Linked DNA regions of Coturnix japonica. The protein of the gene in region 1 purifies or fractionates together with the protein of each later gene. This does not show direct contact. Links are inferred from orthologs where the notes say so. Each region holds a gene or a part of one and is shown in the gene's direction. Other genes may lie near its edges.

Region 1 (4,451 bases):
CATTTCTTCTCAGAAGCAAACATGAGCAGTAGGATTGCATCCTGTGGTGGTGGCCCTGAGTCTTCAGGCAGGGTGAGGAGGAGGAAGGGATCAGAGCAGCAGAACTGCCTGAATTCAGCACACAAGCTGCCTGTGGAGCCCCAGCATCTCAAAGTGCAGTTTGGGGCTGGAGCCCTGGGCTCAGTCAGGCCCAGTTTAAGCACAGAGTGCTGGCAGGAAGCGGCAGGGTGCTGGTTATGCACAAGCAACCCGGGTGTGGAAGATCTCTCTGTGTCCAAACTTCTCCCTCCTTAGAATCTTAAGGTGTTCACAGGGATACTTTCCAGTTTACCAGCTAACATCCTTCAAGGCATGAGATGGTCTGTTAAACACAGAATAAGTGATCATCTTGCTGTGAATGCTAAGCAGAATTATATCCTTATGGTCCTTATTGCACGGTAACAAAATGAAGTTAGTGTTATTCCCCCTTGCCTGTAGCTGCCCTCACCCATTTACTCTGTGGGGAGGTTTTAGTGGCTTGTTTCCACTGCTCTTTTATGAGGGGCTGGCAAACATTCACAGGGGGGAGCTCATTGAGCTGTGGGGAAGGGTCTGGGCTGAGTGGAGAGGTTGGGGAAAAAGAAATGTGGTGTGGAGGGGTCCTTCATGTTCATGTTGAGGTGAGTTGGGGCTGCGTATGGGAAATTCTCTTTTGTTCCAACATGGGGCTCTGCTTAACCCAGCAGACAGGAAGAGGTCTGTGTTGAATTCTCACACTTAATGTGCACCCATTAGCACTGCTGAGCTCAGTGCAGCGTGGTAGGACTTGTGGTGAGACACGTCTGGGGTCTTGCTGGCAGCCCAAGGGAAAGAAGGGAGGCAATACATTTGCAAAGCTTTGTGTGTGTGTTTCCTAGATATAGTTTTGAACACCCCCAATGGCTCCCCAAAGCTTAACATACCCTGCTTTTGCTGTAGGAAGTGTTTTGGTGCAGGCAAAACCCACCTCCTTTCACTGTAGCATCACACAGATGAACTCCAGCAGCAGAATGGTTTGGGTGTGGGGTTTGCATGTCCTTTAAATGGAAGCTCATGCCCATGGAGGAGGCATCACGGCTGTGTGCTGCGAGGAAGTAGCAGTTTCTCCTGTATGTTAAGATTGGTGATGAAATATTAATGCTCCCAGCTGAGTCACTGGGCAGACCGGGTTGAGTCTCTTGCTTCGTAAGCTGATGGGGAGCTGTAAAACTATGCCAATGACTTAGTTTGATTTCTCAACAACATGAGGCTTGTGCAGCGTCGCTGCTGCGTGTGGCTCAGTGCGTTCCCTGCTTTTGGCAGCACTTCTCATGGCCACGTCAGGCAGGGACAGAAACCTGAGTTAAATTCTATGGAAAACACCACGGAAATGTGTGACCTGGGAGAGGAGGGAAAAAGCCAGTGGGAGATGGCAGCAGGAGCTCAGCTTTTACTGGGAGGAGGAACATCTGCATGGGGAGCTGAGCTGTGGGGTGTAATTGTGAGGTGCCGACTTAAATTAACCTGGTGAAGGATTTCCAAAGGGTTTCAGGCAGTAATAAGGGATGGGAATAATGGGAGCTGTAAAGCTATAGCTGTGCTGTGATTTGCTTATTGACAGAATTGGCAGCTTGTATCTCATGTCTGCTGGGTAAACAGTAGTAAACTGAGGCAAAGTGGCTACGTGTGCTGGCTGGTGAGTCATTGTCTGAGCTGGGATTAAACTCCTGTGCCTCCTGGCTTGCAGGTTTCTGCTCAGAGAGCTCTGTATTTCTTAGGGAAGCCCCATACTTGGCCATACCCTGTTGTCCATAAGGCAGTCTTGTTTGGGTCTGGGATAAAGCTTTCTGATGGTGCAGATGCATGTGCAGCCCCTTCCCCCTGTGAACAGATGGGCTGCTGATGGGCACATGAGATGACAGATGTGGTTGTATTTGAAGCAGTTCGTGTTTTTCCCTGCTGTAACAAAATCCTTTCTGTTCCCAGGTGATGTTGGAAACTATTATTATGGCCAGGGACACCCCATGAAGCCCCACAGGATCCGGATGACCCACAACCTACTGCTGAACTACGGCCTTTACAGGAAGATGGAGATATATGTAAGTGTGATGAAAAAACAAGTGTGTTGTCAGTTGTAATTTTGGTGCTTCAAGCTCTTAAATTCTCTTTGACAAGCCAAAGAGGAAAGTGAAAAAGGATTAAATGGTTGTGTTGACATATTTCTGCTGCATTCTGATTCCTTGCAGTGAGATGTTCTTTGCTTCAGATAAGCTTTGGAGTCTGGAAAATTGGTTTGCTCTCAGTAGCTTAAATATTTTCTGTACCTGGATATGTAGTATGTTCCAGTCTCTGGTAATGGCTTTTTTGCCTTTGAAAATAAATTTCTCTTGTCTAGTGCTGCTGCTTCATTTACTTATTTTATTATTTTTGCTGTTTCTGGGAGTAAATCTGAGACTGGAAATGGGATGTGGGGAGGGCAGTGTTCCCAACCAAACCCTCTGTCCTTGCAGCGCCCTCACAAGGCGAACGCGGAGGAGATGACCAAGTACCACAGTGATGACTACATCAAATTCCTGAGATCCATCCGCCCAGACAACATGTCTGAGTACAGCAAGCAGATGCAAAGATGTAAGCTGTGTGTGTGGGGCTGTGTTCATGTCAGTGCTAAGTGTTGTGCGATTGTATCTGTCTGCTTTGTGTCAGAATCTTCTTTCTTTTTCTGTGAGATAACCAGTTCCTTTAACCTCTGCAGTCCATGAAGGTGCTGAGGATCTCTTGGCAGCTTTAATGCTACAGAAACCTTTCCTTTTTTCGGTCTGTCTTAAACTCTGAGGTGATGTTTTGTATCAGGTCATAAAGGCAAATAGATGGGGGAGGCTCAAGTCTCTTTTAATCATTAGTTTGATACACTGCATTCCTTGAGAGCAGGAAAAAAGAGAAAAGCCCACAGGATCCGTTTATGTCAAATGTGATTTCCAAATTAAAAGAGATACGAGTCCTGAGCCTGCAGTAAGGGCACTTGAAACCCTGGTATTAGCTGAAAGGGACAGATGTTTAGGCACAAGCACATAATAGGAATGAATAGTATGGTTCACAAGTAATATACATTGAAAGACCTCCTATAGTAAATAATTTGACTTAATATACCAAAGAATGTATTTACACAAACTGAACTGTTTACCCCTGAAGCTGATACGGCTCACAGACACCCACTCTGCTCTCTGGTAGTCAACGTTTTCTCTATTCTATTTCCACAGAACTGTTTTTAACTGAAGGAGGCGAAATATGAAAATTAATCTTAAACACACAGAGGGCAGATCTTTTATTCAGCAGGGAGAGGAAACCCCTGCCTTTGCTTTCTTGGGAAGAACAAGCTTCTGCCTGGCTGAGAAACTTGCACCGGAGGCTCAGAGCAGAGGGGAAGGAGTTTTAAAATGTAGATTTAACACAAGCCTGCTGTTAGTGTGTTTAATGGCAGGGGGTGCTGCCTCCTTCCTGCACAGTGTGTGCATGGCCCTGCTGAGCAGCACCAGCTGCCAAATAGAGCCCAGCACAGTCAATGTGCCAAACGTGAGGGCCTGTGCTGGTACAGTGCAGCTCTCATGGGCAGCATCTCTCCCTGCACGCTCCTTTCTGAGATGATTGACTGGTTCCTGCCTCCCTCTGAGCCTTCACCCGGTAGGTGGCGTGACTGTCCCACTGCAGCTCCTGGCACCTGCTGAGCTGGGAGCATCCTTCCATAGCAGCAAACCATGCAGGCAGTGTTGGTGGGACCACCTTCATGTCCTGTCATTTGTGTGTTTTTCAGTTTGTTTTTCAGTTGATTAAAGTCCTTATCAGGCTAGGTTTTGGGTTTTTCTTTAATCAGACAGGTAGTACAAGCTTTACCAATGCTTTGTGACTTGGTCTTACTAATTCTTATGTATTCTTTTCAAGTTAACGTCGGGGAGGACTGTCCTGTGTTCGATGGGCTGTTTGAGTTCTGTCAGCTCTCTGCTGGAGGCTCAGTTGGTAAGCTCATCCGTCGTACAGTCTTTTCCTAAGCAGATTTACATCAAGTTGTTCTGCAAAAGTGATTTGTTGTAGGTGGGGGTGGGGGAGCCCTATGAGCCTATTTCTGACTTCCTCAGGTTGAGATTTCTCCCCATGCTGGAATTCCAGCTTTGCATTTTGACAGACCCCTCTGCGTTTGTTAAATGTATCTTTATTACTCTGAGCTACTTCTTGGATGACTCCACAAAGGTGATAGACAGAACCCTGACAGCAGTGGGGTTTTACCAGTAATAATTAAAAATAAGTAATGTGAGCTGCACAGAAAAGCAAAGGCACAGAAGTTGCCTGGTGTAGGTGCCAGCTAAAAAGCAAGAAAGGGTTATTTTTCTTGTTCTTAGCAGAAAGCCAATGTCTCTGGCCATGAGGCAGAAGCTGGAACATTTAAAACACTTTGTACCAAG
Region 2 (4,370 bases), on another chromosome or scaffold:
GAACACTGTAGGCTGTATTAAAAATATAATATTATCTGGACATAGTGCTTACATGGATTTATATGGATTATATATGAACTGGGAATATCAGTAGGAACAATGATACCATCATTAGATCTACCTACTTGATTTCACATTCACCTTCAGTGTGTCTTTATAAATGACAGAGAACCTAGCCAGTGTTGTATTATTCCTGTCCTAAGAACAAACGAAATGTGTGATTTTCATCTGACCTTGATTTCATTAACATCTCTGCTAAGAGCTTTTCTTCTTTACAATACCTGCAGAAATTAGATAAATGCATTCAAAAGTAATAGCAGAGATTTCCAGGATGAGCAAGGCAAAACATTCCTAGCGTGGCAAGTTACTGCAAGCTTTTCTGGGACAAATCCATTTACTGTATCAAAATCATATGAAACACATTGGGAATGTATATCTAGACTCAGGATCAGATTCTGTGTAGCATTTAAAGGACCTCTGAGCCATTTCCAGTTGTGTCAACAACTTTCACAATTCTTGGAAGGGCTATCTCATTTCACTCCCATTTCTCTTGTCTCTTTGCAGTGATGTATACTGAGACTGAAAAATACACATAAATTCCCCATAAAACTCCAATACTTGTGGTCTTTGTTCTAGTAATCCCACATTTCTAAATGCTATCAAATCAAGGACGGCTACACTTTATCATTTTATCCCTAAAAAGTCTTAGAACCTTTCTACCTTCCCCCGCAAATATTGCATTGCAAATTAAGCACTTAGGATCTATGGCAGTCCGGACTTCCAGAATATGATACACATTCATAATTGTGTTTGTAATTAAGAAAAACAAGCAGCAACACCGGAATGTGTTTTTTATTGTTCATTTTCAGTAATGCTTTCTAATTCCAGCAGTTTCAATAAAATGTATTACACTAGAGAACAAACATCTGCAGCAAAGGAAAACAGTGGAAACAACCAAATCCCAAAGAAATTTTTCTGATTTGGTGTTTATTGGTAAGGGCTGTCTGAGAATGCAGGCAAATTAGTCTATCTCCCAAGACATGGGTGTGTGAGAAATGGCTGTCCCAGATCGCTTCCTGTGCATGGCACACATACCATACTTTGGGGTGGCACATAGTAGTACGATAAAGTGTTATCACATAAGTACAGGCTGAAACACTGTTACGTCTGTAGAACACGAGGGTGGGTAGGATAATGTCAGTCTTACTGCACCGCACTGTGTCAAAACCACAAAGACAATGTGCAGCCAAAGATAGCTCCAGCGTAATCACTTTTTTTTTCTCTTCTGATTTTCTTTACAGGCAGACTTAAGAGAAAGGCAGTAAATGCAAGAAGCTAAAACTTTGAGGACAGAACAATTAAAAGATCTTAACTAGCCAATTGAGAAAGGTGATGTTTTTTTCGGAAACAGGTTTGGTGAGTGATGCGTCAAACATCATCACTTTGGTGCACAGGATGCTTCACTTAACTGCTATCTAGAAATAGTTTATTTCAGTTCCTCAAATTTACTCTGTTCTGCCAGTGTTGTTGTTGAGCTTAGACTTAAGTGGGAGGCTGTAAACAGAAGGATATGTGATTCAAGCATGTTGAATTTCAGTTTATTTCTGAAGGGAAGTCTTAATTTAAGAAAAAAAAAAAAAATATCTCACTGGTTTCATTTTCTTTCTTTCTTCCAGTTGTGAAATATTTAACAGTTTCTGCTTTTTCAGGATACTTGGCTAGCAGGAGAATACACACAGAGAAAACATCATTTGAGGTATTGCAGATACAAAAAGGAGAGAATTTAATTGATGTGTAACTAAACACTTTCCACTATGGTTATTCATCAGCAATATTTTTAATTTCATTTTAAATTACTTCCTAAGCTTTCAAACTCATTTAATATTTCATTATTTTTTGTTACTTGCACTACAGTAAAGTTGTGTAAAAAAGGAGCTGGCATTTTTACAGTTGTCCCACAAAGGCTGCCTTTTGATTTCCTTGGAATGCTTTCTGGAATGCATGTAACCTTTCATCTTAGAATGCATTTCCCACCCCTCTGTATGCTAACATGCTTCCAGACTTTCTCAGACACAGAAATGCTTTAAACACAAGAGGAATCTCACTGTAGCGTAAATGATATAAGTAGAACTGCTTTAATGTCTATGTTTCAAAATCACAGACTGTATAAAAATGTTATGTTACAAAACTCCGTGCCCCAGAAAGCATGCTGAATGCAAATCATGCTCTCACGTGGGAAGACTGGCCCACATGTCTAATGGAATATCTGAGAAATAGAATGTTGCATTAGTTATAATTTTATATTTGTTTCTCATTAAATCAAACCTTAGGTTTTATTCCACTTCATGCCCATTTTTAGGATGATAATGAAAAAAGGGTTGCAAGCCTGATCCATCCCAGGCAGAAAAACAAACCACCCTCAAATAGTGTACCTGGAGGCCTTGTTTGCTGCTGCCTGCCCTGCACAGCCAGGAGGGGGCATTGCCTGCACGTTGTTCGCCAGAAGGAGCTCCAACGCTCAGGGCAGAACCCGCTGGCTGCGTTTGGGTGCCAATAGCCTGGAAATAGTTCTTAGAGGACATGTCAGATGTGGGCGCTGAGCTCTTGTAAAGCAATTGTTTGAAATGTTCAGCGAGCAGAATATTGTGCTTGGTCTCATGCGTTGAGGAAAATCCTTCTATTGCTGTGTGATCAGAAGCGGGCTCGGTAACAATGAGCTTCAAGTTTTCTTCATTTTCCTATCCACCACAGGCCAGCACAGTAATACAGGCTTCCTTCCAGATACAAAAGCTCACTTCCCATTGGAACACTGAAGTAATTCATGAGGAATTACTGATATACCCTGTAAAAATCTTTATAAATATCTAAGATTCATTATTATGTTCTATGTTCCTTTATTGCTCTGCAATATATGTATATATATAATTTTCTGAAATCAAGATGTCCTTTATTTTGCTATGTAAATTAATTTCCCAGGGCATTATGCTCATACCACAGGTTTCCCTGGTTTTGAATTCAAAGGTAAGAACAGAGTTCCTGAAAAGTGCCATCTGTATGGAAGGGGAATTAATTATTTTTGTAAGTTTTTGCTGAAAATGTTGTTGGCAATTTAGCACTTCAGTCAAATTTGCAGACTGCAAAATTCTTTTTATATGGTGAAGCATAAAGGGACTAACGATGATCGTGTTAAGATCAACACTAAAGAAAAGGCTCTTGCCGGCATCTCTTCTTCCCTCTCCCAGATTTTGTAGAACTGGGAAATTCTGAAGTGCTTTGAAGATGAGAATTTGTATATAAACATCAAGTATTACTGCAGTGATTTGTTAGCATTCACTCTTAGTACATATGCATAACAGCTGACGTACTGCAGAAATCCAAAGTGGAGTTCAAATCCCACAAACTGTATTTGTAGCTCTCTTCCTGCTGAGCTAATGATATTTGTAGCGCTCTTCCTGCTGAAATAGTGCTACCAATAAAAACAGCCCCAGGGTTTTTTTTTGGGAATAGGAGGAGGGATGGTTGGAAGGCGAAGGTGAAGGCGGGGACATGATTAAAAGGTGGACATAACAGCTCTCTCAGCAGTCAGAGTACGTGCTGTGACACGGCATATGAACATCGGTTTGAAGAATCCTTTCATATCTTCAGAATGTTAATATGAAATGCAAAACGTCATGCTTTGGATAGATGGGTAGGAACAAAATGTTCAGATGCAATATGGTGCATTAAGTACAGTCTCCAGTCTGTATTCCTGGCTTTTCCATTGGTTTAAATCAGACTTGCTGTTTTTAAAGTCTCCCGTGTCATGTTGAGTTACTGCTATAGTCGTCTCTAAAAATAAGTATACTGTCATTTCTGGGACCTACCAAAAATTGAGGCTTTGGCATAATAATCTGCAATTTTTGTTGCACTGTTGATGTGACAGTGTTCTTTACCATATACATACCTAACGCAGTTCTTAACAGGTTCCCACCCTGCAAAGCCTTTAAATTAAATCAGGCAGATTTTGTAGAAAAGGTGTGTTACACTTCACCATATCTGCCAAATTAGTGGGGGTTTTCCAGGGGAAAGTGGGTAGAAGAAACACTACAGTTTTTCCTACGTGAGGTATAATATTGATGTTTTTAGCATCTGCATGGTAAAATTTTGGTCTCTGCAAGGATCTTGTAATGAGATAGTGAACAACCAGTAATTATCTAATAGTAAAAGAAAAGCTTTTCCAGCAGTACTTCCCTGCATTGCACTGGCAGAGGATGGAAGTTTTGAAAAGATGGAAAGCCATTATTCAAAGAAGAGGCTGGTGTGAAAAGAGATGTGAAAGGAGGCTAAAAGAGAAAACGTGTTTTTTTCACCTGTTCCACGGTATTTTGCCA
Region 3 (4,395 bases), on another chromosome or scaffold:
TCACATCCATGGATGCCCAGGGGCTGCCTGTCCTGCCCAGCCCCACTGAGTGACAGCAGGCTGTCCCTGCAGGGCCCCTGAAGAAAACCATCGAGGACTTCTGGAGGCTGGTGTGGGAGCAGAACGTCCTGGTGATTGTGATGACGACTCGGTGAGTGCCCTGGGTGGCAAAATGAAGTGGTTTTGCTATTGGATCAGCTGCTGTCACAGCCAGAGAGCAGCTGATGGGACACAGGGCACCACACGATGCTGGCAGGGAAGAACATTATCCCCGTGTCACCTTGTCTCATCCGCAGGCTGGAGGAGGGGGGCAGGAGGAAGTGCGGCCAGTACTGGCCCCTGGAGAAGGATTTCCAGATGCGCTTTGGGGCGCTGACCATCACCAACCTGGGCGTGGAGAACCTCAGCCATTACAAGAAAACCATCTTAGAGCTCCACAGTGCCGAGGTGTGTGCTAAGGTTATGTGCTAAGGTTGTGGCGGGGCTATCCCATCCCACTGACCACCCCACTCACCCTTAGGGCAAGGAGCGGCGGTTGCTCTCTCACTTCCAATACCTGAGCTGGCCGGATTACGGCGTGCCCTCATCGGCAGCAACACTCATTGACTTCTTGGGGGCTGTGAAGCAGCAGCAGCGTGTGGCTGTCAGTGCGTTGGGACCACGCTTCAAGGGGCACCCGGGGGGTCCTCCGCTTGTGGTCCACTGCAGCGCCGGCATCGGCAGGACGGGTAAGGAGTCCAGCACAGTCCAGCACAGGGGGGGTGTTGCATTGCATTGTGTTGGCTGAGCGTTGCTTGCCTTCATCCCCAGGTACTTTGTGTGCGTTGGACATCTGCCTATCGCAGCTGCAGGATGTGGGTACTCTGGACATCCAGCAGACGGTGCAGCGGATGAGGACACAGAGAGCATTCAGCATCCAGACCCCGGAGCAGTATTACTTCTGCTATAGCGCAGTGCTGGAGCACGCCCAGCGCCGCGGCCTGCTGCCTGCCGCCCACAAGGGCTCGGCCGGGCACTGACACAGCCCTGCCAGCTGGGAACTGTGCCTTAACTTCAAGCAAGCCGGGGCAGGAGGGACAAAAAGAAAAGGAGGGGGGGTGGGTTGGGATGGTTTATTTTCTTATGATTTTTATTCCTTTTTGGTCTGTTTGTTCGTTTCTCGGTGGGACCATCTAGACTGTACGCAGAACAGCCCTGAAGGATGGGGGGGGGGGGGTTGTGTTCCCAGCGCAAGCTGCTGCATCGGGAACTTTATACTGTAATAAGCTCTTGGAATGTGTATATTCTTATTTTTTTATAATCCCGGAGCGTGGGGGAGGAGCTTTTTGGGGGTGTTTTTGTTGGTTTTTTTTTTCCCCTGTGGTATTTAACATTAAGCGAGCAAACCGAAGAGCGATCTCACCTCCGAGCTGCTTTCTCGTCGCTCCTCCCCACATCAGCCCCCCGAGGGCGGTCCGGCGGTGACGAACGGCCTCGTAGGGCCAATGGGCCCCGGGGGGAGTTCCCGTTTCCATTCAGGACGCCTCGCTGCGCGCTCAGGGTATGTCACAGGGTATGTCACAGCGCTGCCCGCCCAGCGGGCCCCTCATGTGGGGTGTGATGGGATGGGAAGGCCCGGGGAGCTCTGAGGGGGGAGGAAGCGAGGCGCGCTCCCGCGCTTTTCCCGCCCGCCCAACGGTCGCCGCGGGAGCGCGCACGAGTGGGGGGGGAGCGCGGCTGTGTGTGTGTGTGTGTGTATGTGAGTGTGTATATGTGTGTGTGTATGTGTGTGTGTATATGTGTGTGTATGTGTGTGTGTGTGTGTGAGGGGAGGGGGTGGGGAGCGCCCGCTCCGCCGCCGTGCGGTCCCGCCCCCCGCGGCCATTGGCTGCTGGCTGTGTTCCCCCCCCCACGTGCTGGCTCCCGGAAGTGGTGTGGGGTCGGTGGGACAAAGGCGGCGTGGCGGTGCGTGCCGGTCCCGCGCGGTCGGTGCCGCCGCCATCACGGCCCGGTCCGCCCCGATGTAAACATCCACAAAAGGGCTCCCCGGAGAGGGGGCGTGGCTTTATACCCCCCCGCGACGTGACGGCGGAGCGGTCCGCCGCGCTGATTGGTTGCTTCCTCAGCCCGCCGCCCAATGGGAAGGCTGCGGGGGCGGGAGGGGGCGGGGCTTGCCGGCCGTACGGACATTTTTCTCGGGTCTCGCTCCCCCCTCCCCTTCCTCTCCACATCCCCTTCCTGGCGGCCGCGGCCAATGGGGGCGGGCGGAGGGGGCGGGCCGAGCGAGGCGATTGGGCCGCGCGCTGAGCGACGCGTGGCTCGACCAATCGCGAGGCGGGTCTCCCCCCTCCCTGCGGCGGGGAGGGGCGGGATTTCCCGGGGAACAGAGAAGCGGGCAGCGTTCCGCCGCGGCGGCCGAGCGGCGGTTACACACATCGGCGCCCCGAGCCTCCCCCGCGGGCCGAGCGCGGGGCTCAGCGCAGCGCCGGGACGGAGCGAGACTCCGCCGGGCACCGCCGCCTCCAGGTGAGGGGAAAGGCGGCATCGGGGGGACGCGGCGCCGTGAGGGGCTGAGGGGGGGGGAGCAGCCATCCGGCGGGGCGGGGCAGGGCAGGGCCCGGTACCGCGCTGAGCCCTGAGTGTGTGAGTGTGAGTGTGTACGTGTGTGTGTGTGTGTGTGTGTGTGTGCGGGGGGAGCCCGGCATGGCGGGAGCGGCGGGCGGGGCGAGCGGCGCTGGGCGCGCTGCGGGACGGAGCCTCCCGCGTGTGTGTGTGTGTGTGTGCGGGGGGAGCCCGGCATGGCGGGAGCGGCGGGCGGGGCGAGCGGCGCTGGGCGCGCTGCGGGACGGAGCCTCCCGCCCATCGCGCCGCCCACTACGCGGGGCCGCCTCAGCCCCGCCCCGCCCCGCCCCGCCCGGCTCAGCTCGGCCCAGCAGCGCTGCCCTCACGGCTCCTGCTTCCTGCTTTGGAGGCTCCTCTGGCGCTTCCAAGCGAGCACGAGGAGCCTGTGCTGATTCAAAGCACCTGTAGGATCCTGCTCCCACACAGCATCACAGCATGACCCGGGTCGGAAGGGACCTCGAGGATCACGTAGTTCCAACCCCACAGCACGGCGTTAGGAACAGCCCCACTCCTTTCCTCCCCACCCCCCCAGCTGAGGGGCAGCGTGAGTAAAGCTGGGGCTGAAGCAGGGAGAGCGGCCAGAGGGCACCCAGCCCTTCCTCTTACACAGGTCCCTTCCAAGCCCAACTTATGCATGGTCACTGTGTCCAATGGGGGCATAGAAACCTTCAGCACGCCCAGCGAGGTGGTACATAAATAAGAACGTGATCCCGTTGCGTTTAAGCCATGCACAGAGCGCTGCTGTGTACGGGTGCTGGAAGACATAGCTCACGCTGTGCTCATGGCCACCAGTCTGCTGTGAGCTTGTCGGAAAGGCATAACCATGACAGGAGTGAGTTGCTCACCTTCCTAGCATGTATGAGCCATACATACTGGGAAGCCATCGTGGCTGGTGAAGCCAACACAGTTCTATGGCTGCTGTTCCATGCTGCAGGGCTATGGGTGCACTCTCGGTGCTGTGCTGCTTTCTCCCAGCTCCCCTGGCTCTGCTGTCACAGAGTGGCTGCAGGTACTGCTCTCATTCTGCCTGCATGTGAGAAGGGAGACCATAGGTAAGGATGCCAAGGCTCGAGGAGAACCCACATGGCAGGGCATACCACGAGCAAGCAGCCAGGATGTCACCTCTCTGATCCTGAGCCACTCATGGGCTGCTTCCAAGCTTTGGGTCCTTTCCACCTTAAGAGCAAACCATCCTCACTCTACACAGCTCAGTCCAGGTACTAACGCTTAAAATTCAATGTGACAGCAACGTTGCTGCTAATGTGAGGATCTGTGAGTTTGGGGTGTCCTTCCAGCCTGCTCAGGCAGCAGGTGACATGCAAAAGTGTCCCTCTGCTTGGGATTTGTCCTCATCTCTGGCTCTTAGTGGCATCAGAGCTCCTCTCTAGAGGTTCATATTCACAAGGTGCCTGTAGCTGGCATTCTGCAGCCTCCTAAGGGCTTTAAAGCAGCTCCTGCAAATCTTAGATGCTTGACCGGCAGCTGTGCTGTTCCCCTGTTTCAGGAGTGTCTCGGGTTTGCATCTGCAAGGTCTGAAATCTCTCTTGTGGGGTTGGGTTTCACAACTTGTTCTTGAAAGCATCATTTGTGTGTGCAGAAGTGTTGTGGCTCCAACAGGTGTCACGCAGCAGACCTGCACTATTCACTGCTCTCCTGCAAGGGGAGAACTTACAGCCCAGGAAAAGGAAAGTGAAAAAGCTTTTATCCTCCTGTGGAGGGGTGTATTCCTGTAAGGAGATGCTCTGATTGAAGTTAAAAGATAGATTGGTGCTGGGAGGGAGGGGATGCAGGTCC
Region 4 (4,551 bases), on another chromosome or scaffold:
ATGCTTAAACACCACATCTCAAGTGATTTCATTAAGCTGTAGATGGTCTACTTACGATGCAGAGGTGAAGCAACTCAGTCCCTGTTAGGCTACAAGCTTATTGACTGTGTGGCCTAAATTCAGCAATATTATTTCCCTTCTTTTTCAAGGTATGTGTTTTCCACAGCTTTCTCCTGGAGAAACTGTCTGCTCATGGCTTTCATGGGTGTACTATTCATTAGGTAAAGAACTAGCTGGCTGGCTGGGCCTGAAGAGTTGTCGTGAATGGAGTTAAATCCAGTTGGCAGTGGTCACAGGTAGTGTTCTCCAGGGCTCAGTATTAGGGCCAGTTTCGTTTAACATCTTTATCAGTGATACTGGTGAGAGGATGAAGTGAACCCCTCTATAAGTCTGGGTAGTACTGTTGATCTGCTTCCTATGCTCTGCAGAGGAATTTGGATGGGCTAGATTGATGGGCCATGTCCAATTGCATGGTTAAATGTCAAGTCTGACACCTGTGTCATAACAACTCCGTGCAATGGGGTTGACCAGCAGAAAAGGATGGGGGAATGCTCTTTAGCAGCCAGATGAACACGAGCCAGCAGCGTGCCCAGGTGGCCAAGAGGGCCAATGGCATTCGAGCTTGTATCAGAAATAGCGTGGCCAGCAGGACTAAGGCCATAGTGAGCAATGGCAAGATGACACTTCGAGTGCTGTGCTTAGTTTTCACAGAATCACAGAATGACCCGGGTTGGAAGGGACCTCAAGGATCATGTAGTTCCAACCCCCCTGCCTGGCAGGGCCACCAAACATACACATTTACTAGATCAGGTTGCCCAGGGCCCCGTCCAACCTGGTCTTGAACACCTCCAAGGACGGGGCATCCACAACCTCCCTGGGCAGCCTGTTCCAGGGCCTAACCACTCTCCTAGTGAAGAACTTCCCCCTAACATCCAACCTAAATCTTCCCTCTTTTAACTTAAAACCATTTCCCCGTGTCCTGCTATTGTCAGCCCTTTAATGGCTGTCAGTTTTGGGCCATTCCCTACAGAAAGGGTGTCAAGTTGTTCAACTGCATGCAGAGAAAACAAATGAAGATGGTGCAGAAAAACAGTTAAGAGGAACAGCTGAGGGAACTGAAGCTGTTCTGTCTGGAGAGGTGGAGGCTGAAGGGAAGCCTCATAGCTCTCTACAGCCGCCTGAAAGGAGCTTGCAGTAAGGAAGACAGTGTTGGTCTCTTTTCTTGAGTGCCAAGAGACAAGCGAGGAAATAGCCTCCAGTTGCACCAGGGGAAGTTCAGACTGGATATCAGGAAAAAGTTATCCACGGGAAGGGCTGTAAGGCAGAGTCCCCATGCGGTGGTTTAACAGTGGCTTTGTCAGTTAGGTAGACGGTCGCTCTCGATGATCTTAAAGATCTTTTATATTCTAAGGCCGCAGCCCAAGCGCCGTCCATCACCGCGCTGTGGAGAAGCCGTACGGCGCGCTCGATCTCCCTGTCAGCGGCTGGTTGTGTCTGCGAGTCCGCCTCGCTCCCCGCGCATGCGTGCTGCCAGTCCCAGCATCCTGAGGCGCGGCCGGAGCGGAGAGGAGCCATGGCGCTGCACGTCCCCAAGGCCCCGGGCTTTGCCCAGATGCTCAAGGAGGGAGCGAAGGTGAGAGCGGCCGGGTAGTGAGCGCCTCCCGGGCTCCCTCCTTTCCTCCCCTCTTCCCGCTGCGAGGAGGCTGCGGGGCGTTTGGGCATGATGGGCGGGGAAGGTTCTGGAAGGCCCGGCCGCTCCACGCGGTCTGGGCTCTCGGTTGCTCCCCTCGGCCTGTGGGTGCCAGTGCTGCTGAAGGATGGAATAGAAAGAAAGCAGCTTATTGTAGGTGGAAGAAAGGAGTGAAGTTTTGCTTGTTGCTGGTTAATACAATGGAAAATAAACAGCTCAGCCCTAATTTTGTTCTTTTTTGGAGGCTTCCTTGGAGAGAAGGAATGGTTTCTTTCAGAGGTGGGGGAGAACAGAGTGCCATAGATGCTGGTACTCTAAAAGCAAAGATCGATGATAGAAAGAGCTGTGTTCTACTGAATGAGAAGGATGTGTTCTGAGGTGCTTGTTCTGCATGTAGAGAATAAATAGTTATTAGGGAGGTGCATGCTTATGGTGGCCTTCCAGAACCTGAAGGGACCTATGGGAGAGCTTTTTCATAAGGGCATGTATTGACAGGATGAGGGGGAATGACTTTAAACTGGAAGACGGTAGATTAGACTAGATATTAGGAAGAAATTCTTTACTGTGAGGGTGCTGAGACACTGGAACAAGTTGCCCAGTGAAGTGGTGGATTCTCCCTGCCTGGAGGCATTCAGAGCCAGGCTGGATGGGGCTGTGAGAAACCTGGTCCAGAGGGAGGTGTCCCTACTATAGCAGGGGGTTGGAACTAGGTGATCCTAAAGGTCCCTTCCAATCCAAACCATTCTATGTTTCTCTCTTCTGGGAGGCATAGACTATGGCTTACCTGGTTTACAAGTAAAGCCCTTTCAGGAGATCCATTATTTCCATTTGAAGCCAGGCTGATCAGCTTCTCAAACACCAATATTTCCTGAATCATAAAATCATTTAGACTGAAAAAGATGTTCAAGATCATCGAGACCAGCCATGAACCTGACCTGAGACTCATGACTAAACCATGTTACTTGGTGCATGGGCATACACACTCCAACGTGTTAAATTAAGTCACTGAATTAAAAAAATACACAGACTGACTACTTTTAAATTTTTAAGCCACTCATTTCAATGTGAAACTGAGTTACATGACTCTGTGATGTGGAGTTATAGGTAAAAAAGCAAAACTCTGTTGCATGTCCCCAGTCCTACCTTCTTTCTCCAGGCTGCTCTTGGTTATTTTCTAGCTGCATTTGGTATGCCATTAATATTTTAGTAGTCTTTTGGCGTATGAAGGGGGGCTATAAGAAAAGAGGAGATGGGGAAATGGTTTTGAACTGAAAGAGAGACTTAGATTGGATGTAATGAAGAGATTTTTTACCATAAGGGTGGTGAAGCACTGGAAGACGTTGCCCAGAGAGCTGGTAGATGCTCCGTCCTTGGAGATGGTAAAAGGCTGGATGGGGTAAAAGGCACCTGATGGAGCTGTGCATGACCCTGCGTATTGCAGGGGAGTTGGATCAGGTGGCCTTTAAAGTTTCCTTCCAATTCAAATGATTCTATGATTATTATTAGTGCCTCTTTGAGAAGTGACTAGTTCTGAGCAGTTTTGTCTCATTTGTTTTTAGCATTACTCGGGACTAGAGGAAGCTGTCTACAGGAACATCCAGGCATGCAAAGAACTTGCTCAAACCACCCGTACAGCTTATGGACCCAATGGTAAGTAAATCATAGTATCATAGTATCACAGTCTCGTGCGGGTTGGAAGGGACCTTAGAGATCATCGAGTCCAACCCCTGGGATTTGAGCCCATGTGTAGCAGAGCAGCACTTCTACCACTTGTGCCACAGGGGGATTCAAAGCTGGGCCCTCCGGTGTTACAAAGCGGCATTCCTACCACTGTGCCACACTGAAGCTGCTGTAGTTATTTTGATCAGAATGGTGCGTCTGAAGGCTAATCTTGCCTTGACAAAGAGGCAATTAATTGTGTCTTGAGAAAACATATTGGACTTGCTGTAGGACTCCAGATAAAGTTGTTGTGTCTGGTTAGTTCTGAAGCTATGCAGTATGTACCTTCTTTTGCTGGGGTTTTTGTGCCTGTTTTGCTTCAGTTACTTTGTCCTCTTTGCTGTCTGATTGCTGTATGGAAGACCTGCAGAACTTAGAGGAAAGATGGTAACTCGGTAGATAGTCAAGATTAATGTAACCGTACTGTATTCTGATAGATACACTGTATTCTGATAGATACACAACGACAACAGTGTTCTCCGGTGCCAATTAAATTATGCACCAATGTTTCTGAAAACTCCTTGTTCAGAAATAATGAATTCTTGATAATGTAATGCATTCCCAAGTGTTATTCACAAAAGTACATGCATCTGAAGTTATAAATAGGGCTCGTGTTTTAATGTGTCAGGTGAACTAGAAAGCTATGGAAACAATATATCTGTACAGTGCAACAGTTGCCTAATAAATACTTTTTTTCCCACTAGGAATGAACAAAATGGTTATCAACCATCTTGAGAAGCTTTTTGTTACCAATGATGCTGCTACTATCTTGAGAGAGTTGGAGGTGAGTTCTCTTAGAGTGGGTCAGTTGGAAGAGACCTTCAGAGATGAGAGTCCAACTGCTTGACCACTTCGGGACTGAACAAAAATTAGATCATGTTGCTGGGGACACTATCTAAATGTGTCTTGGAACACCAAAAGCCAAGGGGCATCAGCCACCTGTGCAGGAAGCCTGTTACAGTGTGTGACCCACATAGTAAATTTCCTCCTGATGTTCAGTCTGAACCTCCTCAGTACAGCTTTGCGTCATGGTCGTAACCCAGCGTTCTTGTTAGCGTGGGCCACTATGGATCTGAACACTGATAGGAATTTTATGTCACCCTCCCAGATTATATATGCCATTTTGTGTTTACATTTGTCAT
Region 5 (3,819 bases), on another chromosome or scaffold:
ATTTTCTAGTCTTCCAAGCATTTTTAAACAGCTGGTTTTGGTAGACACTGTTAGAAAGGACAGCTTATCTCCAGTGATGGTGCTTTTATTTGTCTTTTCAAACTGAAGTAGATTGTACATTTATGCAGATTGAAAGCAAAAGAGGAGGAGTGGCGGGAGGCCCAGCAGGGCTTCAACAAAATTTGGCGTGAGCAGTACGAGAAAGCCTATCTGAAGTCCCTTGACCACCAGGCTGTCAACTTCAAACAAAATGACACCAAAGCTTTGCGCTCCAAGAGTTTGCTGAATGAAATTGAGAGCGTCTATGATGAGGTATGTATGCTAGCGAATAATTAATTCTCTTTGTCCTTCATTTACACTATTGTCTGAAGGTTCGCTCCGTGCCTGGGATCATCTTGAGGTGCTCTGAAGAGTTCTCAGTCCAAAATGGCTGTCCCAAGCATAGAGTTAATCCTGGCTTATTTCTTATGGCAGGAATGGCACTTGAGGATGGAGTGGAAGGATCTTTTATCTATTTGTCTCTTGATTACAGCATCAGGAGCAGCATTCAGAGGGGAGAAGTTCATCCACAAATGAGCCTCATCTTATCTTTATCTACGAAGATAAGCAGATTTTGGAAGACGCAGCATCTCTTATCAGCTATTATGTAAAACGTCAGCCTACCATCCAAAAGGAGGATCAAGCAACCATTCGGCAGATAGTGCACCACTTCATACCTGAGTTGTTCTTCTCTCAGCCTCCTGAACACAGTATTTCTGAAGAATCAGCAGATGAAGACAGAGAAAACCAGCAGGGGCAGAACCTGGATACTCCAGAGCTACGGAAAAAGCATGTGCCTGGGCCTCCAAGCAGTCCTTTGGAGACAAAAGCAACCTTCTGTGATGTTACAGCTACTGAGCCCCATAACACTCTGGATGATGTTTACAGTCTGTTCTTTGTCAATAATAATTGGTATTTCTTCCTCCGCCTTCATCAGACTCTGTGCTCAAGGCTCCTAAAGATTTATCGTCAAGCACAGAAGCAGCTTCTAGAATATCGGACTGAAAAAGAGAGAGAGAAACTCCTTTGTGAGGGGAGAAAAGAAAAGACCAATGATCCAGCCATGGAGCTAAGACTGAAGCAGCCAAGTAAGAATATGCTCTGACGTAGTCCATTATTAATGTTCTGGTTGTTAGTGCTTGATTGTATGTATCTGGGTAACTGCGACCAGCCGGCAAGGAATGTAGGGGTCCAAACCTCTGCTCTGTTTGCAGTTCATGGGTACAGCTGATCTGACAGGACAGCTCGTTTGTAATTTGTCCTTTGAGGGCTTTCACGCATAGTTTATAAAATCTTCCCACAAGTGCACAGCTGTCCAGTGTTCCCAAAGTATCTTGTATTAAAGTGTTACTTAGTTTTAAAATGTGAATGGTTCTCTGATGAAACCGTTAACCACTCAAAGTACTGCAAAAGAGCTTGAGGAAGAACTGTTATAGTATGTCAGTTCTCCTGAGAGAGAATTCTGCAAAGGTTCTCCGAGTACTGAATGTCATGATTCTCGAGCAGTGCTGTCCTGTACACCTGACTGCACTCTGCCTTTTGCATGTAGTAAGTGACTGCTCTTTTCCTCTGTCCAGGTGAGGTGGAACTGGAGGAGTACTACCCTGCATTCCTGGATATGGTGAGGAGCCTGCTGGATGGGAATATTGACCCAACACAGTATGAGGACACGCTAAGGGAGATGTTCACTATCCATGCCTATATTGGCTTTACTATGGACAAACTGGTGCAGAATATTGTCCGCCAGGTAACTATGCTCTTTGGGGGACAGCATGTTTCCCTTCTGTGGACAAATAGCTTTCTTACAGCACCTGTAATGCAAGAACTCTCAAAACTTTCAGCAAATGTATAGAAGTTAAATCTGTGGCAGAAAGGGCTTAATAAAAGTTCAGTGCGATAGTTCAGTATCTGCTACAGTACAGGGCCCACCTCAGGGGACTGACTCTTCCTGGCCTTTTCCAACACTTCTTCAGTTCCAGACTTTAAATTCTGCCATTTCCAAGATAAATCGAAGGCAAAAGAAAGGCTTTGTCCCTTGTATGCAATATCTGTCTTCTAATTGTAGGGTTGGTTTTTGTTGTTTATTTGTTAAATTAGGCACATTAGTTCCTTACTTTCTTTTTTCCCTTATATTGCAAAGTAATGAAAGGTAAAATAAAGTATATAAAGTCTCTGGAGTTAAATCTTTGATATTTTGTATGATGCTATGCTTAGTTTTGTGTTCCTTTCATAACACACTGAAGTTAAGTCTTGGCCCAGACTGCTAACTGAATTCTCTCCATTTTTTTAATGGAAGCTTCACCATTTAGTGAGTGATGACATCTGCTTGAAGGTTGTTGAGCTCTACTTGAATGAAAGGAAGCGAGGTGCTGCTGGAGGTAACCTATCCTCTAGGTGTGTCCGGGCAGCAAAGGAGACCAGCTATCAGTGGAAGGCTGAACGCTGCATGGCAGATGAGAACTGTTTCAAGGTGAGAACCTGCTGCCAGGACTGTGCCACTTCACCTGGGAGAAATGGGTTTTAAAGTGCCAAGGCCACAATATGGAAACAGGGGTACCAAAAACAGCATAGACAGTGCGGTGGTGTATTGACTCACTGAAAAGCCTTGTTGCTTATGCCTCTCCTGTTCTTGTATTTATTGTCCAAACAACTTGTGAATATCCATCATTTTATTGTGGACTCGTGGCCAACATCTTTCACCTGTCATTTACAGGTAATGTTTCTACAGCGGAAGGGACAGGTGATCATGACCATTGAGCTTCTGGATACAGAAGAAACCCAAACAGAAGATCCGGTGGAGGTCCAGGTAATACTTTTGTGGCCATGGAGTCTGCTGTACGACAGACAAAACAGATGTCTAAGAATGCTTTTCAGCTTTCTTAATCCCAAATATGAGTTTCTGCCAGGAAGATAAGCTTATCTGGGAGGTGTGGGCATTGACAGAAATGTGTGTGTTAATGAAACAGGTCCAACATAAATCATCTTGGGGTTGGGTGAGGTACCAGCAGCTTCCTAAAGAGCATCTGGAAATAAACTAGTCCTTTGCAGCAGTGTTTATCTTGAGAGAAGTCTTGACTTGAAATTGATCTCTTGTAGCACCTTGCTAACTACATGGAGCAGTACGTTGGGGTAGAAGGAGTACCCAACAGCCAGAATGATGGCTTCTTACTGAAACCAGTTTTTCTGCAAAGGTGAGCTCCCTCCCTCTCCTGAGTCATATCTGGGTCAGCTGGTCCTGCTTCCTCTGAGCGTTTGGCAGTGATAGCAGGTGATGTGCAGCACAGGCAGTTCTAGGGAAATGCACTCGTTTCTGAGGTCCAGGGGGACTGCTGGTGTTCAATGTGCTGTACAGGAATGCTGAAGAAAAAAATTAATGACCACTGCGCTGAGGTGTGTTGATGATGGAGTGGGACTGCCTAAGCAGTCCTTTCTGGGGGGAATTTGAGGTCTAGTTTGTTTGTTTCCATTTTGGTAACTACTTGTTGAGAGTCTGAAAACTAAAACATACATTTCATACTGGTGCTGTCGGCAATGCTAGCTGGGTAAAAAGAGAGTGGGTAAACACGTGTGACAAATGCTTCATAATCTTTGTTTCGTTCCAGAAACCTAAAGAAATTTCGCAAGTGGCAATGTAAGCAAGTGAGAGCTCTGCGGAGTGAGGTGAAGAGCTCCTGGAAGAGACTGATTGGGGTTGAGAGCGCGTGCAATGTGGACTGTCGGTTCAAGCTCAACACCCACAAAATGATGTTCATCATGAACTCAGAGGATTACATGTACAGG
Region 6 (4,304 bases), on another chromosome or scaffold:
CTCAAGACCCGGATGTAGCTTAGGCCGCTCCCCGTTGTGCGCACGCAACATGGAGGCGGCTCTTAAGGCCGCGCCGCGAGTGCCCGGATGTTGCGCATGCGCACCTCCAAACCCGGAAGTGCCTTCCAGATACCCGTATGTAACTCAAACCCGGAAGTCCCTCCAAATCCCCGGATGTACTGCGGGTTCCCAACCCGGAAGTCCCCGGATGTAACTCAAACCCGGAAGTCCCTCCAAGTCCCCGGATGTCACTCAAACCCGGAGGTCCCTCCCAGATCCCCGGATGTACTGCGGGTTCCCAACCCGGAAGTCCCCGGATGTAACTCAAACCCGGAAGTCCCTCCAAGTCCCCGGATGTCCCTCAAACCCGGAAGTCCCTGCAAGTCCCCGGATGTACTGCGGGTTCCCAAACCCGGAAGTCCCCTCTAAATCCCCGTATGTAACTCATGCTCACTCCCAAACCCGGAAGTCCCCTCTAAGTACCCGTATGTAACTCAAACCCGGAAGTCCCTCCCAGATCCCCGGATGTACTGCGGGTTCCCAACCCGGAAGTCCCCGGATGTAACTCAAACCCGGAAGTCCCTCAAACCCAGAAGTCCCTTGTAAGTCCCCGGATGTAACTCAAACCCTGAAGTCCCTCCCAGATCCCCGGATGTACTGCGGGCTCCCAACCCGAAAGTCCCCTCTAAGTACCCGTATGTAACTCAAACCCGGAAGTCCCCTCTAAGTCCCCGGATGTACTGCGGGCGTCCAACCCGGAAGTCCCTTCTAAGTCCCCGGATGTAACTCAAACCCGGAAGCCCCTCCAAGTCCCCGGATGTAACTCAAACCCGGAAGTCCCTCAAACCCGGAAGTCCCTTGTAAGTCCCCGGATGTCCCTCAAACCCGGAAGTCCCTGCAAGTTCCCGGATGTACTGCGGCTTCCCAACCCGGAAGTCCCCTCTAAGTCCCCGGATGTAACTCAAACCCGGAAGTCCCTCCCAAATCCCCGGATGTACTGCGGGTTCCCAACCCGAAAGCCCCCTCTAAATACCCGTATGTAACTCAAACCCGGAAGTCCCTCTAAGTTCCCGGATGCAGAAGTCCCTCCCAAATGCCCGGATGTAACTCAAACCCGGAAGTCCCTCCCAGATCCCCGGATGTACTGCGGGTTCCCAAACCCGGAAGTCCCCGGATGTAACTCAAACCCGGAAGTCCCTCTAAGTACCCGTATGTCCCTCAAACCCGGAAGTCCCTCCAAATCCCCGGATGTAACTCAAACCCGGAAGTCCCTCCCAAATCCCCGGATGTACTGCGGCTTCCCAACCCGGAACCCCCCCTAAGTACCCGGATGTGCTGCGTCCCTCCATCTTAGCGGCCTCCATCGGGCTCTCCATCGTTCCCGGTGTCCGCCATGTCCATCTCCACCCCCCCCAGCAGCAACGACGCGTGTCTGAGCATCGTGCACAGCTTAATGTGCCACAGACAGGGAGGAGAGAGCGAGACCTTCGCCAAACGAGCCATCGAGAGCCTCGTTAAGAAGCTGAAGGAGAAGAAAGACGAGCTGGATTCTCTCATCGCCGCCATTACGACCAACGGGGCTCACCCGAGTAAATGCGTGACTATACAACGTACATTAGACGGGAGGCTGCAGGTGGCTGGGAGGAAAGGGTTCCCCCATGTGATCTATGCGAGGTTATGGAGGTGGCCCGACCTGCATAAGAATGAGTTGAAGCACGTCAAGTATTGTCAGTACGCGTTTGATCTCAAGTGTGACAGTGTGTGTGTCAACCCGTATCATTACGAGAGGGTGGTGTCGCCTGGGATCGGTGAGTACAATGGGGTCCTATGGGGTCCTATGGGGTCCTATTGGGGTCCTATGGGGTCCTATGGGGTCTATGGGGTCCTATTGGGTCCTATGGGTTCCTATTGGGGTCTATGGGGTCGTATTGGGGTCCTATGGGGTCCTACAGGGTCCTATGATATAATGGGGGGAGATACGCAATTTGTGTAAGGGAGGCCATAGGAAATAATGGGGGAGATACGGAGTTTGCGTAGGGGAAGTTACGCAATTTGCGTAAGGGACTAGGGAGCCAATGGGAGGAGTTACGCAGTTTGCGTAAGGGCGGGGGGTTCGATAATGGGAGTTACGGAGGTTGCGTAAGGGAAGTTACGTAGTTTGCGTAAGGGACTATGGTGGTTAATGGGGGGGGAGTTACGCAAACTGCGTAAGGGGCTTCTATGGAGTCCTATTGAGTTCTATGGGGTCCTATTGAGTTCTATGGGGTCCTATTGAGTTCTATGGGGTCCTATTGGGTTCTATGGGGCTCTATGGGGTCCTATTAGGGCCTATGGGGTCCTATTGGGGTTCTATTGGGGTCTATGGGGTCCTATGGGGTCCTATGGGGTCCTATTAGATCCTATGGGGTCCTATAGGGTCCTATGGTGTCCTATTGGGGTCTTATGGAGTCTGTGGGGTCCTATGGGGTCCTATGGGGTTCTATGGGGTTCTATGGGGTCCTATTGAGTTCTATGGGGTCCTATTGGTTTCTATGGGGTCCTATTGATTCCTATGGGGTCCTATTGATTCCTATGGGGTCCTATTGGTTTCTATGGGGTCTTATTGGGGTGTATGGGGTCCTATTAGATCCTATAGGGTCCTATTGAGTTCTATGGGTTCCTATGGGGTCCTATTGGGGTCCTATTGAGTTCTATGGAGTCCTATTAGATCCTATGGGGTCCTATGGGGCTCTATGGGGTCCTATGGGGCTCTATGGGGTCCTATTGATTCCCATTGGGTTCCTATAGGGTCCTATTGGGGTCTATGGGGTTCCTATTGGGGTCCTATTAGATCCTATAGGGTCCTATTGAGTTCTATGGGGTCCTATAGGGTCCTATTGAGTCGTATTGGGATCCTATTAGATCCTATGGGGTCCTATTGATTCCTATGGGGTCCTATTGAGTTCTATGGAGTCCTATTGGTTTCTATGGGGTCCTATTGATTTCTATGGGGTCCTATGGAGTCCCATTGCATCCTATGGGGTCCTATGGGGTCTATGGGGTTGAAGCACGTCAAGTATTGTCAGTACGCGTTCGATCTCAAGTGTGACAGTGTGTGTGTCAACCCGTATCATTGGGGTCCCATTGGATCCTATGGGATTCTATGGGGTCCTATGGGGTCCTATGGGGTCCTATGGGGTCGTATTGGGGTCCTATGGGGTCCTATCGGGTCGTATTGGGGTCCTATAGGGTCCTATGGGGTCCTATTGAGTTCTATAGGGTCCTATGATTTAATGGGGGGAGATACGTAAATTGCGTAAGGGAGGCCATAGGAAAGAATGGGGGGAGTTACGCAATTTGCGTAAGTGAGGGCTCAGGTTACGCAATTTGCGTAAGGGAGTGCGGTAGTTATAATGGGGGGGAGATACGGAGCTTGCGTAAGTGGGAGTCGGGTTACGCAATTGACGTAAGGGAATAGGGGTTTATAATGGGGAGGAGTTACGCAATTTGCGTAAGGGACTACGGGGTTTATAATGGGTCCTATTGGGTTCTATGGGTTCCTATGGGGTCCAATGAGGTCTTATGGGGTCTATGGGGTCCTATTAGATCCTATGGGGTCCTATTAGATCCTATGGGGTCCTATGGGGTCTATGGGGTCCTATGGGGTCGTATTGGGATCCTATGGGGTCCTATTGGGTTCTATGGGGTCCTATTGAGTTCTATGGGGTCCTATTAGGGTGTTATTGGGATCCTATGGGGTCCTATGGGGTCCTATTGGTTCCTATGGGATCCTATTGAGTTCTATGGGGTCCTATGGGGTCTTATGGGGTCTATGGGGTCCTATAGGGTCCTATTGGGATCCTATGGGGTCCTATTGGGTCCTATTGAGTTCTATGGGGTCCCATTAGATCCTATGGGGTCCTATTGGGGTCCTATTAGATCCTATGGGGTCCTATTGAGTTCTATGGGGTCCTATTGAATCCTATGGGGTCCTATTGGATCCTATGGGATCCTATTAGATCCTATGGGGTCCTATTGATTCCTATGGGGTCCTATTGAGTTCTATGGAGTCCTATTGGTTTCTATGGGGTCCTATTGAGTTCTATGGGGTCCTATTGATTCCTATGGAGCCCCATTGGTTCCTATTGGGTCCTATAGAGTCCTATTGGATCCTATGGTGTCCTATTGGGTCCTATAGGATCCTATGGGGTCCTATTGAGTTCTATTGATTCCTATGGGGTCTATGGGGTCCCATTGGATCCTATGGCGTTGAAGCACGTCAAGTATTGTCAGTACGCGTTTGATCTCAAGTGTGACAGTGTGTG
Region 7 (3,819 bases), on another chromosome or scaffold:
GGAGGTGCTGTAGCCTTGTGCTCAGTGCAGCTATTCCTGCTCACAGTGGTAGTGTGGCATCCTGGGGAGCTGTGTGTTGGATGGGGTTGGTACACACTTAGTACACAAATTCGAGTTAGAGCTGCTGTATTTTTATGAATGATATGGAATCTGCAGTGTAAGATGGGACCGAACTCTGCTTTAGGATAGCAGCCTGACCTCTTTGGAAGAGCAATAGAGGCAGTGGGATGACAAACTGGTTGTATGACATGGCTTATGTGACTCACTGCATTGGCATTCTCTTGTAGAGAGTATCGGGTATCATTTCTGAAGAGGTGTGAAGTGTTTTGAGCACTTCTTTGCTTGTTCATAGTTTGTTTTTTGTTCTCATGATGGGTTTCCCAGCTCTTACCCTGTATCGATGACCATGGGAAGATGGATGTCTCAGCTGCTAGAAGCCTCTCTGGAGACTGAAAGCGCTGCTAGCTGTTGCTGTGAGGTGTAGCGTGTAGAATGCAGTCATGGTCATTTTGATCTGAGCAACAGGGAGGGCGTTTGGACTCCATTTTGAGTACAAAGAGTAATGGGATGTGGCTGCATAGGGCTGGTGCTGTTTGGCCTGCAGTGGGGGAGCTGGGTGGGCAGCTCCTCTGTGCTCTTGGCTTTGCTATGGGGATCCTGGCCCATAGGACAAGGCTTGCCAGTTCTCTTGCAACAGTTAATACAGGTTTGCTTACTGTAGGCTCACACTGAAGGAAAAAATAACGCAGTTGATGCAAAGAGTATTGATTAAATGATCAAGGAGGTAAAAGCATTGGATTATCTCTTCCCGTCCTATTCCCCAGCAGGAAACTGAGTGTGTGAAGCTGGTGGCATGTAAAATCCACCTTCCTGTCTTCTGTTAGCTGTAAAGCAAGCATGATATGTGGAGAAGCAAGTTTTCTAAGTGCTGTGGTTTCCTTTCAGTTCATTCATTGCTGTGCTCTTTGGGTTGCAGCTTGGTTGTAAAACCACTCGCTCTGGTTTTGGGAAGGTGGGTGAAGCTGTTGTTTCCACAAGTGCTTCAAAGGACCATCTTGTATTTGCAGCGTTGGATTTTTCTGTACTAAATAACTTTGGGGCGTGGGTTCCTTTTGTTTTAATGGGTATTTTCAAATATGAGAGAATGGCGAATATTAACATTGGCTTTTTTCCCTCTTTCTTCCCCCTTTCCTCCTTCAAGAACCTTTTTAAAACGCTGGGGTTGTTGGAGTGGTTGAATTTTTCCTGGATTTGAGTGAGAAATTCAGAAGACTGAAGCCCAGGCTCACTGTCTACCTTTCACGGAGGCCCAGCCGTGAGAGGACAGAAGAAGGCACGTGGCGAATCATGACAGCGGACAAAGAAAAAGACAAAGACAAAGAGAAGGACAGGGATAGAGACCGGGACAAGGAGCGAGACAAAAGAGATAAGGTGAGGGAGAGCGAGAACTCGCGTCCTCGACGGAGCTGCACGTTGGAAGGAGGTGCCAAGAATTATGCAGAGAGTGACCACAGCGAAGATGAGGACAATGACAACAACAGTGCCACCACGGAGGAGTCCACAAAGAAAAGCAAAAAGAAACCACCCAAGAAGAAATCCCGGTATGAGAGAACAGACAACGGTGAAATCACGTCCTTCATCACGGAGGATGACGTTGTATACAGGCCTGGAGGTAAGAAGTTCTGTGCTGTGTTTGTTTTGCAGCTAGTTGTGCACTTAGCTATAGCACTTAGCTGGCTGCAGCGTGTGCTGTGCTCCTGCTCCAGGTTGTGGTTGTATGGGGGAGGTTGCCACGTTTCCATTGGAGACTATTATGGATCCATATGCAAAACTTTACAGATACATCTTGTAGTATCCCATTTGTTGAAATGGTTGTGAGCTTTCCTTTAAGAATGAACCACCTTTTTCACTTTCTACTCCATTAACTTTGTTTCATATGGGAAGCCTGTTTTAAATTGAGCTGGACTATGCACTGTGCACCTTGGTCTGAGATTGAAACTAGATGTGATCTGAGCTGGAGGATGGATGAGGTGGCATCTTCCCCCCCACTTCTAAGTTGTTCTACAAATCCATTTTGTTTGTTGAGATCCTCATCTCTTCTCCTTGTAGAGTAAATCAGGTGAGTTAAGATCTCACACCCATTATCTCATTCATTCTCCCTCCCAATTCCTAATATATAATAGCTAATATAGCTAATGCCTGTGCACAGCAATGTGTGTACTGAGCAAAGCCACCAGTGTCAGCAGGTGTCTGGGTGTGAGGACAGCAGTGAGAAGCTTATATTACACTCTGCATATCTTGGACGTGCCATTCAATTGCTGCATGGTTCACATGAGGTTTTCAGACTCATATATAAGGATTCAAGGTGTAACCTGTGGCTGTTGCCAGCTAATTCCTTCCTGAAAGTAAAATAGAGATTATTCACCTGGTTGTATTCCTTGTTTTTTGATGTCCCCATGTTCATTTGTGCTGTGTTTTAGTAGTTAATTGCAGTTGTCTGTTTCACCATGAGGGATGTTGTTTTGGACTGTACTGTTCAGAGTGCTGGCTTAGGGGCTCTGCTGGCTTTATATTGCTCTTTGTCAGACGATTGCTGTTGGTGTAGTAATGCTGCTGGAGCAAATCAGATGAATTCCAAATAAAATCCATGGAAACTAGAGAGGTAAAAGCTTGTCTGATTTTTTTCTATGAGGCACAGCGTGTCTCAAGTACCAGAATGTCATTGTGTGGGTAATGTAAGTGGGTGAAATGCTCTATCCAGGTGAGGCTGAAGGAAGTGCCCTGAAGTGCAGGGCTTGTAGCTGGGTGGTATCTGTTGCCTGAGCAGTAGCAATAGGAAGCCTGCCTAAGGATCAGCTTTGGAGCAATCTTATTTTCAGTGTCAGAGGATGAAAAATACGAGTATGTTAGGAACAGCTGTTGTGTGGGCCCAGCAGTACAATGCGATATGCTGGCTTTCACCGCAGAAAGACTTGGCGTCAAATTAAGATGGAAAATCACAGTGCTCTCAATTTCATTCTGGAGCGGATTGGAGGAGAATTAGTGCTTTGTTCGGGGCTGCAGGGCTCTGTGTGCCACTGATGCAGCGACACATGGCTGGAGGTGTATCTGCAGGGCAGCAGGAAGCACAGCTTACACCATTGCAGGAGAGCTATGGAAGGAAGGAGCAGATAGCATTTATTGTTTCCTTACACAATAATCTGTTCAGAAGAGAAAGGGCCATGTACAGACATAGCAGGAAACATAGGGGGGGAGGTCCTTTCCACGTGAGTGATTCTGACTCTGAGATACTTAGGTCTCCTATGGATGAATGTTAGTGCAGTGCTGGAGGGGTGTGAGCAAGGATGAGACCATAATGGACCTGCTTGAGGTTTTTAATACTTTAATTTAAAACATAACTTCCTAACAGGAACGAGCTTCTGAATTCGCACTTCATTGCATAGTATATATTCTAAAAGAAGCGTAGTAGGTGAAAATCTTACATCTTCTGGCTAGGAGGTTCTGTAAAGGGTGATGTACAGTATATACTAAGGATATAAATTATGTACAATTTGAGAGAGATTAAGAGAATTCAAGTCAACAGGACTCACCCAGCAAGGATTAGGAAGCTGGATGTTAGAGGTGTGTGTGGGATGGATACCTGTCTGCTGCTTACATCTCCAGGGCTTCAGGGAAAGAAAATCTTTTCCATTTGTCTGATTCTGTCTCTTAAATGCTCTGATGTGATCAGGAGTGCTGGAGGTCTGTGCTTTGTACCCATGAAGCCCTTGGTTGCAATGTTCCTCTGTCTGCTGTGCAGCAGTTCATCCAGCGCTTGAT

Evidence for each region.
Region 2: the proteins of HDAC1 (region 1) and ARID5B purify together in Homo sapiens (co-immunoprecipitation; 5 studies listed by BioGRID and IntAct, counting the BioPlex papers as one, with this or other methods). This does not show direct contact. The link is inferred for Coturnix japonica from reciprocal best matches to the Homo sapiens genes HDAC1 and ARID5B.
Region 3: the proteins of HDAC1 (region 1) and SIN3A purify together in Homo sapiens (affinity purification with western blotting; 42 studies listed by BioGRID and IntAct, counting the BioPlex papers as one, with this or other methods). This does not show direct contact. The link is inferred for Coturnix japonica from reciprocal best matches to the Homo sapiens genes HDAC1 and SIN3A.
Region 4: the proteins of HDAC1 (region 1) and CCT8 purify together in Homo sapiens (affinity purification with mass spectrometry; 4 studies listed by BioGRID and IntAct, with this or other methods). This does not show direct contact. The link is inferred for Coturnix japonica from reciprocal best matches to the Homo sapiens genes HDAC1 and CCT8.
Region 5: the proteins of HDAC1 (region 1) and SIN3B purify together in Homo sapiens (co-immunoprecipitation; 12 studies listed by BioGRID and IntAct, counting the BioPlex papers as one, with this or other methods). This does not show direct contact. The link is inferred for Coturnix japonica from reciprocal best matches to the Homo sapiens genes HDAC1 and SIN3B.
Region 6: the proteins of HDAC1 (region 1) and SMAD4 purify together in Homo sapiens (affinity purification with western blotting; 3 studies listed by BioGRID and IntAct, with this or other methods). This does not show direct contact. The link is inferred for Coturnix japonica from reciprocal best matches to the Homo sapiens genes HDAC1 and SMAD4.
Region 7: the proteins of HDAC1 (region 1) and RERE purify together in Homo sapiens (co-immunoprecipitation; 6 studies listed by BioGRID and IntAct, counting the BioPlex papers as one, with this or other methods). This does not show direct contact. The link is inferred for Coturnix japonica from reciprocal best matches to the Homo sapiens genes HDAC1 and RERE.

The regions. Positions count from the first base shown.
Region 1 is NC_029538.1:4,507,997-4,512,447, reverse strand, and holds the start of HDAC1 (histone deacetylase 1), read left to right. Parts: upstream 1-1,534; 5' UTR 1,535-1,919; coding exon 1,920-2,096; intron 2,097-2,507; coding exon 2,508-2,625; intron 2,626-3,933; coding exon 3,934-4,008; intron 4,009-4,451. UniProt on the Homo sapiens protein: Histone deacetylase that catalyzes the deacetylation of lysine residues on the N-terminal part of the core histones (H2A, H2B, H3 and H4).
Region 2 is NC_029521.1:6,795,140-6,799,509, forward strand, and holds the start of ARID5B (AT-rich interactive domain-containing protein 5B), read left to right. Parts: upstream 1-1,501; 5' UTR 1,502-4,370. UniProt on the Homo sapiens protein: Transcription coactivator that binds to the 5'-AATA[CT]-3' core sequence and plays a key role in adipogenesis and liver development.
Region 3 is NC_029525.1:1,983,350-1,987,744, reverse strand, and holds the start of SIN3A (paired amphipathic helix protein Sin3a), read left to right. Parts: upstream 1-1,485; 5' UTR 1,486-1,542; coding exon 1,543-1,552; intron 1,553-2,341; exon of another isoform or gene 2,342-2,505; intron 2,506-4,395. Other genes in the region: PTPN9 (tyrosine-protein phosphatase non-receptor type 9), read left to right, coding at 73-151, 297-447, 521-728, 811-1,019. UniProt on the Homo sapiens protein: Acts as a transcriptional repressor. Corepressor for REST. Interacts with MXI1 to repress MYC responsive genes and antagonize MYC oncogenic activities. Also interacts with MXD1-MAX heterodimers to repress transcription by tethering SIN3A to DNA.
Region 4 is NC_029516.1:93,548,313-93,552,863, reverse strand, and holds the start of CCT8 (T-complex protein 1 subunit theta), read left to right. Parts: upstream 1-1,499; 5' UTR 1,500-1,573; coding exon 1,574-1,633; intron 1,634-3,249; coding exon 3,250-3,340; intron 3,341-4,113; coding exon 4,114-4,193; intron 4,194-4,551. UniProt on the Homo sapiens protein: Component of the chaperonin-containing T-complex (TRiC), a molecular chaperone complex that assists the folding of actin, tubulin and other proteins upon ATP hydrolysis.
Region 5 is NC_029543.1:3,316,894-3,320,712, reverse strand, and holds part of SIN3B (paired amphipathic helix protein Sin3b), read left to right. Parts: intron 1-128; coding exon 129-312; intron 313-532; coding exon 533-1,127; intron 1,128-1,616; coding exon 1,617-1,786; intron 1,787-2,335; coding exon 2,336-2,509; intron 2,510-2,752; coding exon 2,753-2,845; intron 2,846-3,135; coding exon 3,136-3,230; intron 3,231-3,641; coding exon 3,642-3,819.
Region 6 is NW_015439872.1:57,649-61,952, forward strand, and holds the start of SMAD4 (mothers against decapentaplegic homolog 4), read left to right. Parts: upstream 1-1,355; 5' UTR 1,356-1,393; coding exon 1,394-1,808; intron 1,809-4,304. UniProt on the Homo sapiens protein: In muscle physiology, plays a central role in the balance between atrophy and hypertrophy. When recruited by MSTN, promotes atrophy response via phosphorylated SMAD2/4.
Region 7 is NC_029536.1:2,676,597-2,680,415, reverse strand, and holds part of RERE (arginine-glutamic acid dipeptide repeats protein), read left to right. Parts: intron 1-1,201; 5' UTR 1,202-1,347; coding exon 1,348-1,672; intron 1,673-3,819. UniProt on the Homo sapiens protein: Plays a role as a transcriptional repressor during development. May play a role in the control of cell survival. Overexpression of RERE recruits BAX to the nucleus particularly to POD and triggers caspase-3 activation, leading to cell death.